Tribolium castaneum: one gene and its partner. The protein of the gene in region 1 interacts with the protein of each later gene in a biochemical or structural test. Links are inferred from orthologs where the notes say so. Each region holds a gene or a part of one and is shown on either strand. Other genes may lie near its edges.

Region 1 (4,381 bases):
ACAATATTCGGAAATATCTGACACGATTGCAGTCAATTTGGGGCTAATGAACTCGTCCATGTCTTTGAAATATTGCAAACTTAACTCCTTGTCGGCTATAATTAACAATTAATTTAATAAAACCAAACAAACGAAACAAACCTCTCATAAATAAACAAACGGACGCACTTAGCGCCCTATAAACCACCAAGTTGTAGGACTCGGCCTTCCCTGAGGCAAATAAATAAACTTTGGGTATTTTCCCCACATTTTTGGCTGTTTTTAAATTTGTAGGTCCCGTAATGAAACGACCGTGATGTAATGCAGCAAAAGGTGAAACAGAATTACGGGGCATTGAGCCCCCTTGAAGTTCAGCCTCCATGTTGGCGGGCAGTAAAGTGCCAATTAAATATTGGTACACAATTTTCATGTCTTTGGGTTCAAAACCGCTCCTTTGAATTAGTTATTACTTATAAAACAAGTTTTAAGTTATTTGAATTAATTACCATATGAGATGATCGTTGTATAAGAACGCTGTGTACGCAATTTCGGGATACTCGCATTCAAGTGAATTGATAAAACATTGGACTTTTAAAAAAGTTAGTTTGTCAAGAGGCAGATACTGAATTCCGTGGAACACGTTCAGAATATCAGCATGCCCTAGTTTTAAGGTTTTCAGATACTGTGAAGTATAAATTAAAATTTCTTAAATAATCTTGTTAACTTACAGCTTTATAGAAACTTTCAAGTCTTGTTTTAAGTGTGCCCACATCGTGGTTCTCAATCGTGTGTTCAAAAGTGCCCCAGAAAAGTCTATACGTGTAATAGGCTTGTTTTAAGACGGCTTCGTAAACATTGTCTTGTACATCATCCTCGAGATATTCGATTTGAGTTGAACTGTCCTTCCCCTTAACTTCGGTTGGTAAAGTTAACGTCTATAATATTTAGTGCTTAAAAGTATTGATTAAAGATGTGTAAATACCAAAACAATCCACATATTTTTTTCTGGTTGGAAATACAATTGACGCATTTTTTGCGTATGTAGTGAATTCACTGGAGTGCTTGGTTTAAATGTGCTACAAGAAATCTTACAGTTTTTTGCCCCTTATCTCAAACACTTTACCCAGTGAATTGAATGATCCCCTCAACTAACCCCACATTCTTTATTTGTACATCGGCATTGTCAGATATTGGATAATAATAAAGAATTTTTTTCAGTTCCTGGAAAAGACATTGTGATTGTGTTCTAAAAGGGGCGTACGCACCTCCCCTTCCTTGGGGCCATATAGAGAATTGAAAATAAAAAAGTTTTTTAACTCCACGTCTTTGTTTTTACTCATAATTCCGGTTCGAAACTTATTGAATAATATTATGTTTTTAGAAACAAATTTTTCAAGTCCAAAATTTTTACTAGGTTATGTTATGTTTAGCAATATCCATTGATCCATATTATTCATTTGCCATACATCTCAAACATTAAAAATACGCGGACAGGTACCAAAGTACCTACTTTTGCCGTCAGTTTTAGAACTAGAGCATATCTATTGTATAATTATTCCTTCCTCAAGTGTCTTTAATATTTTTTAAAGTTGTTTGGGATTAGGGAAATTGCAAGTTGCAACGCAAAGATTGACATATAATTTGGCGCCAAAAAGTGTAACCCTTTTTCGAGGTTATTTTCGGGTGTTCCTTTTTCTTTAAAAATAATAATAACGAGTGCAAAAATGGACTTATTAAACTGTAGGCCCGACCAATGGTACCTAAACGAAACGAAATATTCGGAATTACTTCAAAACGAACAAATCTGGAATCAGGTTAGAAAGTTACACTTTTACAATTTTTGAACACTTTGTACATTGTTAGATTCCACTGTTGAATGCAAACGAGCTGCACAATTTCCAAGACTGGCAACTGGTTCGCTTCCAGGGCATGATACAGGATATGCACGGTCCCGAACTCTACTTGGAAAAATTCACTGTTACAAACACTGAAACTGCAGAAAGTACTATTAAATACGGCAAATACGTTGATGGTGCAGACTGTAAGGTAAGAGTAATTTTTTGAAAGCTATTCGGGGGCTGAGTATGTGTTGACAGTCTAATGAAACCATTGAGGAATGTCCCTCAACCACTCCAAGTGAGCGGCATGTTTACGTTGCAATTTCAATCCCTGGTATTAATCCATGGGTTCATAAAGTGAGTATTGTTTTAATTGAGGGGTTGTGTAATAAAAAAATTAGCTTGAGGAGGACAGGTACAAACTACCGTCTACAAGCTCTTCAACTTCAGTGCACTTAAAACGACCCGTTGAAGAAATGGAAGTCGCTAGTGCAACTGAACCATCAAACTCTAACAAGCGCCCATGTAATCAGTCAGCACAACCTGCAGAAACAACACCTGTTGTTTCCCAAGAGTACCTTTTAAATTTCCCAATCCCCAATCCGTCTGGCAAAGTATGCCACTTAAAAGTATACAAAGACATGGACAAGATTAAATTGAACTCAATTTGTGAATTTGTGGGCTTTTTGTCCCTCAATCCGCTTTTAGGGGCTAACATTGATGATGATATGAACGGTCTGGAGTCTCAAATTCACAATCCTCCTCCGTGTTTAATTCCTAGAATTCATTGTGTGTCGTTCAAATCATTGACTCACAATAATCCATTAGTTACGCACGAAAAAATGAGCGCTGATAAAATGCAGATCATTAGAAAAGAACTTTTGATTCTATTAACACAATTAATGTGTGGAGATGAATTGGCAGCCGAGTATTTAATTTACCACTTCATTTCTAAAGTGTAAGGGAATTCGCACATTTGATTCTGCTATTTTTCACGTGTAGACTTTTAGCTACTTGCGGAAAGATTTAATGGCACTTGGAAAATTTTCCTTAAACATTTCCAACGTCCCAATGCTTGAAAACATTGATTATGTCCAGGAAATTTACAAGTTTGTAGAGACCCTCACTACCAAAAGTCATTATTTGCCGATGTTGCTCGAGAATATGAATGAGCTCAATTTTGTTCCAAAGTAAGTTCCGTAGCACCGTTATTTCAGTTTGTGTAAAATGATTCTTCTTGGCTTGTTTTTGAAGAAAAGACTACAGTTCGGATCGTTTAACAAGTAGTGTTTTGCAATTAAGTGATAATACTCATTTGGTGTTGGACGAGACGAAACTAACTCCGGGAAAATTAAACGAGGGCGGAGTTACCGGAGTTCGCGCTCTTTCAAACACCATCAAGAACCAAAAAATCATGTACGATTTCACGTACTATCAGCTCGAGTATGATTGTGATATTCCGTTTCTTGTGTTTTCTGAAGGCAAATCAATGCTGCCGGTTTGTACTTATCACTTTGTTAAACAGTTTTGAAAAAAATTTTTCTAGAGCGATGTTCATGTAATTCTCAAACCAGAAGAAATGCATTTAAAGACTTTCAGCGAGATTCTGGAAGCGGCAAAACATTTCCTCAAACCTGAGCTGCTAAATGATATTCGACTTTATCTAACTAACGCCCGGTTGACCCAATATGACTTATCAGACGGTGTGCTTGAGGTAAATTGCATTTTTTGGTGTCAATTATCAGGAAAAAAAAATTGTAGATGGTCCAAAATAAGTTTGTTGAAATGAGACAAGCTGGTAACATCACAGGAGACGATCTTCACAGTCTCCTTGTTTTGGCGAGACTTGTTTGCATCTCACAAGGAAGAAACACCTTGGATGAGGAATGTTGGAAGAAAGCGTGTGCCTTGGAAGAAGCCCGAAAAGAAAGAATAAAGAATCGCAGTTCCGAGAAATAATTTAAAAGATGTGGTTTTTATTTTCTATTTTCTGATAATAAATTGTCACTTTTTAAACATTGTTTCAATAAACAACCAAACAAAATACGATTACAGTACAACCTCTTTAATCCGAAGAACACAGTGCAAAGTTAATTCGGATTACAGAGGTTTGACTGCATATACATTTGCGCTTTGTGATATTTCACAACAATGAAACACTAAAGCTTCTATTCTCCCTTCAATAACGTTGCCACAAGCAACATTACGAAGTTTCTACTCTTTTGTGAAGATTTTCAAAGTCTTGCAAAACTCCAACGACTTGGTTTTGCGCCTTCTTCAAACTTTGTATCCTTTCTCTTTCCTTCTGTAACAGTGTTAGTCCTCTTTTTACGACTGTATTGTAACGCTGAGACAGCGATTCTTCGTTCCCTTTCACACGTGGGATGTGTCCCGTGTATCCGGCAATTGGTGGATAATCCGGAGAAATTTTATGATCTGCAAAATTAGTCAAGTGGGGTGTTATTTCCTCAGAGAATTTCGTGAGGGATTTTCCTTTGTATTAAACTATTTTATGGGCTCATCTAGCCATAATAAGTTTACTTAAAGTATATTTTAACTGTTAT
Region 2 (3,824 bases), on another chromosome or scaffold:
TATTTTCGACCATAGTTGGAAATTATTTGCCGTGTTGGAAGGAAATTTCGCACAATAAGTGAGTTTTTGAACTCAAAATAAAGTAATTCTTGACGTAATTATATAAATGTTTGGGTTAAAATGCAAAAAAAAAATTTGCTTGTGGACTTTGCATTAGTTCTCAGTTCCACTACTCTACAATTTGTAAGAGTGACTGGTATTTTTCTGTTGTGATTCATTCAGTTTCTTGCAATTTGTGACCAACTACCTCTAGAATTAATCTTTGGTTTTCAGTCCTTAATCTTCGACTTGGAATATTTATTATCTTGCGAAACAGATAAGCACTTCCTCTTGTAAAACTCAAACAAAATATCGTCAAACGAGGTTAAAAACTTGCTCAATTTTGTATGAAAATCTCAATTACTCACGCTAATAAGCACGTGCATCATTAATAGCTATTTGTAATGTATAATTCATGAAAAACATGCTACGACTACACCAATGAGATCACTGATAAATGGTAATTAGAAATGTACAGTCGTGACCGAGAATTTTGGCCAGGCCGGCAACTAATGGCCAAAACTTCCTAGCGGTACTGTACCCACATGTGACCCAAAATTGTCTAATTTTTCGATCACGTCTTAAGGCACACCGTTAGGAAAAGTGGACTTTCGTCCCTTGTTATTGTCAACAACACGTGTGAACGCCCCTTTAGCCAGCGATAAAAAATCGCCGATCGTTGACATTTCCAGTGACAATCAGGCGTCGCGATGGCCCTTTGTCGTCATAATAATCGCACAAAATCAATAATGAAGCGATTAAATCGTGATGAAGTCCCCTCGTGGTGCCAGTACCCACCTTTTCACCATTTCTGAAGCCGTCTTAAACAGTTTGGCTGCGATTGTCGTATTCGAAACGCATAAAAATATCAATCACTGGTGTCGTTGCTTCACTAAAAACATCACTAGAGCCGCCGATTCGTGCATGTTTATCACTGGTGGCACACGCATTCACTAGGCACGGCCGTCTTCGTTGCACTGGCGGACGCTTTCACGGAGGTTTCGCACCGTTTGCGATGAAAGCACGACTTCCAAGGGGAAAAACACGCACGGTGATGCTTTTCCACGGACACTCTCCGCACTTTTACCGATAACAATGGCGCGGTGGATGGATGTCGATCGTGGGGGACGTCGACGGTGGGATGTAAACATTGGGCGAGTGCTGACATCTGCTGGGACCGGAAGTGAAAAAGCGAAATGACAGACGACAGTGGCGGGGTGCACGATTTTGGCGAATTTTTGAATGTCTTTATTGACGATTCATCGACCAAATCTATTATCACCTTGTCAGCGTAAATGCGAAATGGCCTAATGCAAAAAAGGCGGTGGGAAATTGCAATGGTCAGGGCCGGCTTTCAGGAGTACCAACGCTACCAACATGGTGTCGGAATACATTTTCTCTTTGTAATTTTACTGAACTAATAAATTAATAAATAAATTAAATTAATCAGACTTTAGGGTGTAACAATAGACATTATAAAAATTTGGAAGATTTAGATCAAGATCAAGAAAAACTTGTTACCAGTGAAAACTATTTTATTTCACTTTAAAGTGACAAAAAAACATCGCGGCTAGACATAATTTTAATCTACAGGGGTGCCAAAGAAAGTCTTTCTTTGGCATCTTTTTTTTAATAATATGCTCCAAGGAGCGATAATTTAGTACTAAAAAGAAACACTCTGTAGAGTTATTATTTACCGAGAATGACGAGAATTTATTACGATAATGAAGTTTACAAATCGAGCCGTATCCGAGCTTTTTTCGCGTATACTCACAGATTTAACTAAGATAAAAGCAAAAATGAACAAAATTGCTTCTGAAATGTGGTATTTTTCCCTATTTTTAATATTTCTATCGGGTTAAAGCATTTTTCGTCTATAGAATTTCTCTAAATTTTGCAAAACAAGGCCAACAAATATCAAATTCACGTTTGAAATACGATATTGTTTTAAACGATCGGTTTCAAAAGAAAATATAAATAAATGTAAAGGCCCTGATAAGGTTTTTGCTAAAGTGTTAATTGGCACTATTTACTCACCCTGAAAATTAAAATTGTGCATGTTCATTTTTTGGCTGCTGGTAATTTTATTATTTGAAAAAAATATTGGGGCCTTTTTTTCAAAATTCTGAAAAATTTAGCTGACTAATCATAGGCAAGGCCAAAGTGGTGAAATTCTCACATTACCTATTCAAAAATTAAGTCTTAGGCAGTTCATAGTCAACCATTCTTATCACATCGTTATCAATATCAATGTCACAAGAAGAAAGTAATACAAGAAAAACAAACAACAAAAAACATGGCAAACTTACAACTTCATTTTCTTAATTAGCATGTTATTATCCCCAGAGTCACTAAAACACCACTCAATTTCGCAATACACTTTAACTAAAACTTCAGTGGAAACTTCCTTCGGTTCCATTTTTCTCTCGTCCATTTTCCGGCCGTAAAGTCACCACTAAATATCAGAAGACAAGTCACGACAACCACCGAATCGCGCAGAATATTATAGGAAAGAGTGGAAAGATCCATTCTTGTCATGACTTTGCGTCGACAAGTCAAAACAAAGACGAGCACAACATTTTCGCAGATTTTGCTCTGTGGAGGCGAAATCTGGCAGGTTTTGTGGCACTTCCGACTAAGCGATTGGTTCGAGGATGAATCAGCGCCCAACATCCACCAATCTGACTGGTTTCAACTTGTTCAAAATACGCCAGTGGTGCGGCCTAGATCTGGGCGGAGATGATGCAATTTGAGGCTGGAGGGGCGCAGAAGTGCAAAAATTTTTTCACCCCCCTCGTCAAAAAAAAATCACATAAAAGAATTTTTTTGAATCGTAAATTTAAAATCGAAACAACGTCCGGTTCAGTTTCTTTCATGTTGGGTCAGATTTATTTATTTTTATTATTTTTACCCAAATTATTCAAATGCCATTTTTTTGGAACTGTCAAAGTGACACTGACAATTTTTGAGCTAATTCAGTGATTTTTTTGATTTTTTTTTGCTGAATTTTTGCGACATTATTGCGTTTTTTAGCAAAAAATGAGCCAATTATTATTAACAAAGGACAGAAGCGGCAAATTAAACCAAGTTCATAACTTGAAAACGTTCGAAATAAATAAAGAATTTCAAATTTGAATTTTTAAACCAGTTTTAGTGAATTTGTGGCACCAAACGTCACCACTAATGTTGGCAGCTTTGGCGCAAAGTTCCCGCCAATTTACTTCCGTGTAACAACAACGCTTTATTCGCCACAAAATCGGTGTTTTATACGAAAATGGAAGGTTTCGATGATCCAGGAGTGTTTTACAGTGATAATTTCACGGTTGAGGACAACCAAAGCGACCCCCAAATCAATTTACAAGGTGTTAAGAAAAAGTTCAAGGAGTTCATCCGACAATACCACACCGACAATTTCAGCTACAAATACAGGTCTGTTTCCAATTTATTGCCAAAAATCACTGAAACCCCCTTATAGGGACACCCTGAAGCGCAATTACAACCTGCGCCAATATTACCTGGAAGTCAACATTGAAGATGTTGGCGCTTTTGACGAGACGTTGGCCGACAAACTATACAAACACCCGTCGGAACACTTGGTTATATTTGAGGAAGCGGCCAAGGAAGTGGCCGACGAACTCACAGCCCCACGTCCCGAAGGAGAGGAAGCAGTTGAAGACATACAAATTATGCTGTCTTCAGACGCCACTCCGACAAACTTAAGGAACATGAAAGTAGGGTTTTTTCGGGGGTTTACCGCTTTACAATCGCATGATTTCAGTCGGACG

What was found.
Region 2: the proteins of mini-chromosome maintenance complex-binding protein (region 1) and Mcm5 form a complex in vitro, tested with the Homo sapiens proteins (2 studies listed by BioGRID). The link is inferred for Tribolium castaneum from reciprocal best matches to the Homo sapiens genes MCMBP and MCM5.

The regions. Positions count from the first base shown.
Region 1 is NC_087394.1:35,481,005-35,485,385, forward strand, and holds mini-chromosome maintenance complex-binding protein, read left to right. Parts: upstream 1-1,495; 5' UTR 1,496-1,703; coding exon 1,704-1,793; intron 1,794-1,842; coding exon 1,843-2,025; intron 2,026-2,075; coding exon 2,076-2,174; intron 2,175-2,218; coding exon 2,219-2,775; intron 2,776-2,827; coding exon 2,828-3,007; intron 3,008-3,071; coding exon 3,072-3,315; intron 3,316-3,363; coding exon 3,364-3,531; intron 3,532-3,578; coding exon 3,579-3,776; 3' UTR 3,777-3,833; downstream 3,834-4,381. Other genes in the region: vacuolar fusion protein CCZ1 homolog, read right to left, coding at 1-95, 142-431, 486-661, 708-914, 962-1,055, 1,103-1,200, 1,245-1,319; ciliary microtubule inner protein 2B, read right to left, coding at 4,021-4,253. UniProt on the Homo sapiens protein: Associated component of the MCM complex that acts as a regulator of DNA replication.
Region 2 is NC_087396.1:20,945,344-20,949,167, forward strand, and holds part of Mcm5 (DNA replication licensing factor Mcm5), read left to right. Parts: intron 1-837; coding exon of another isoform or gene 838-848; exon of another isoform or gene 849-1,218; intron 1,219-2,348; coding exon of another isoform or gene 2,349-2,473; exon of another isoform or gene 2,474-2,784; intron 2,785-3,187; 5' UTR 3,188-3,313; coding exon 3,314-3,468; intron 3,469-3,514; coding exon 3,515-3,770; intron 3,771-3,817; coding exon 3,818-3,824. Other genes in the region: Pli (protein pellino), read right to left, coding at 2,349-2,473. UniProt on the Homo sapiens protein: Acts as a component of the MCM2-7 complex (MCM complex) which is the replicative helicase essential for 'once per cell cycle' DNA replication initiation and elongation in eukaryotic cells.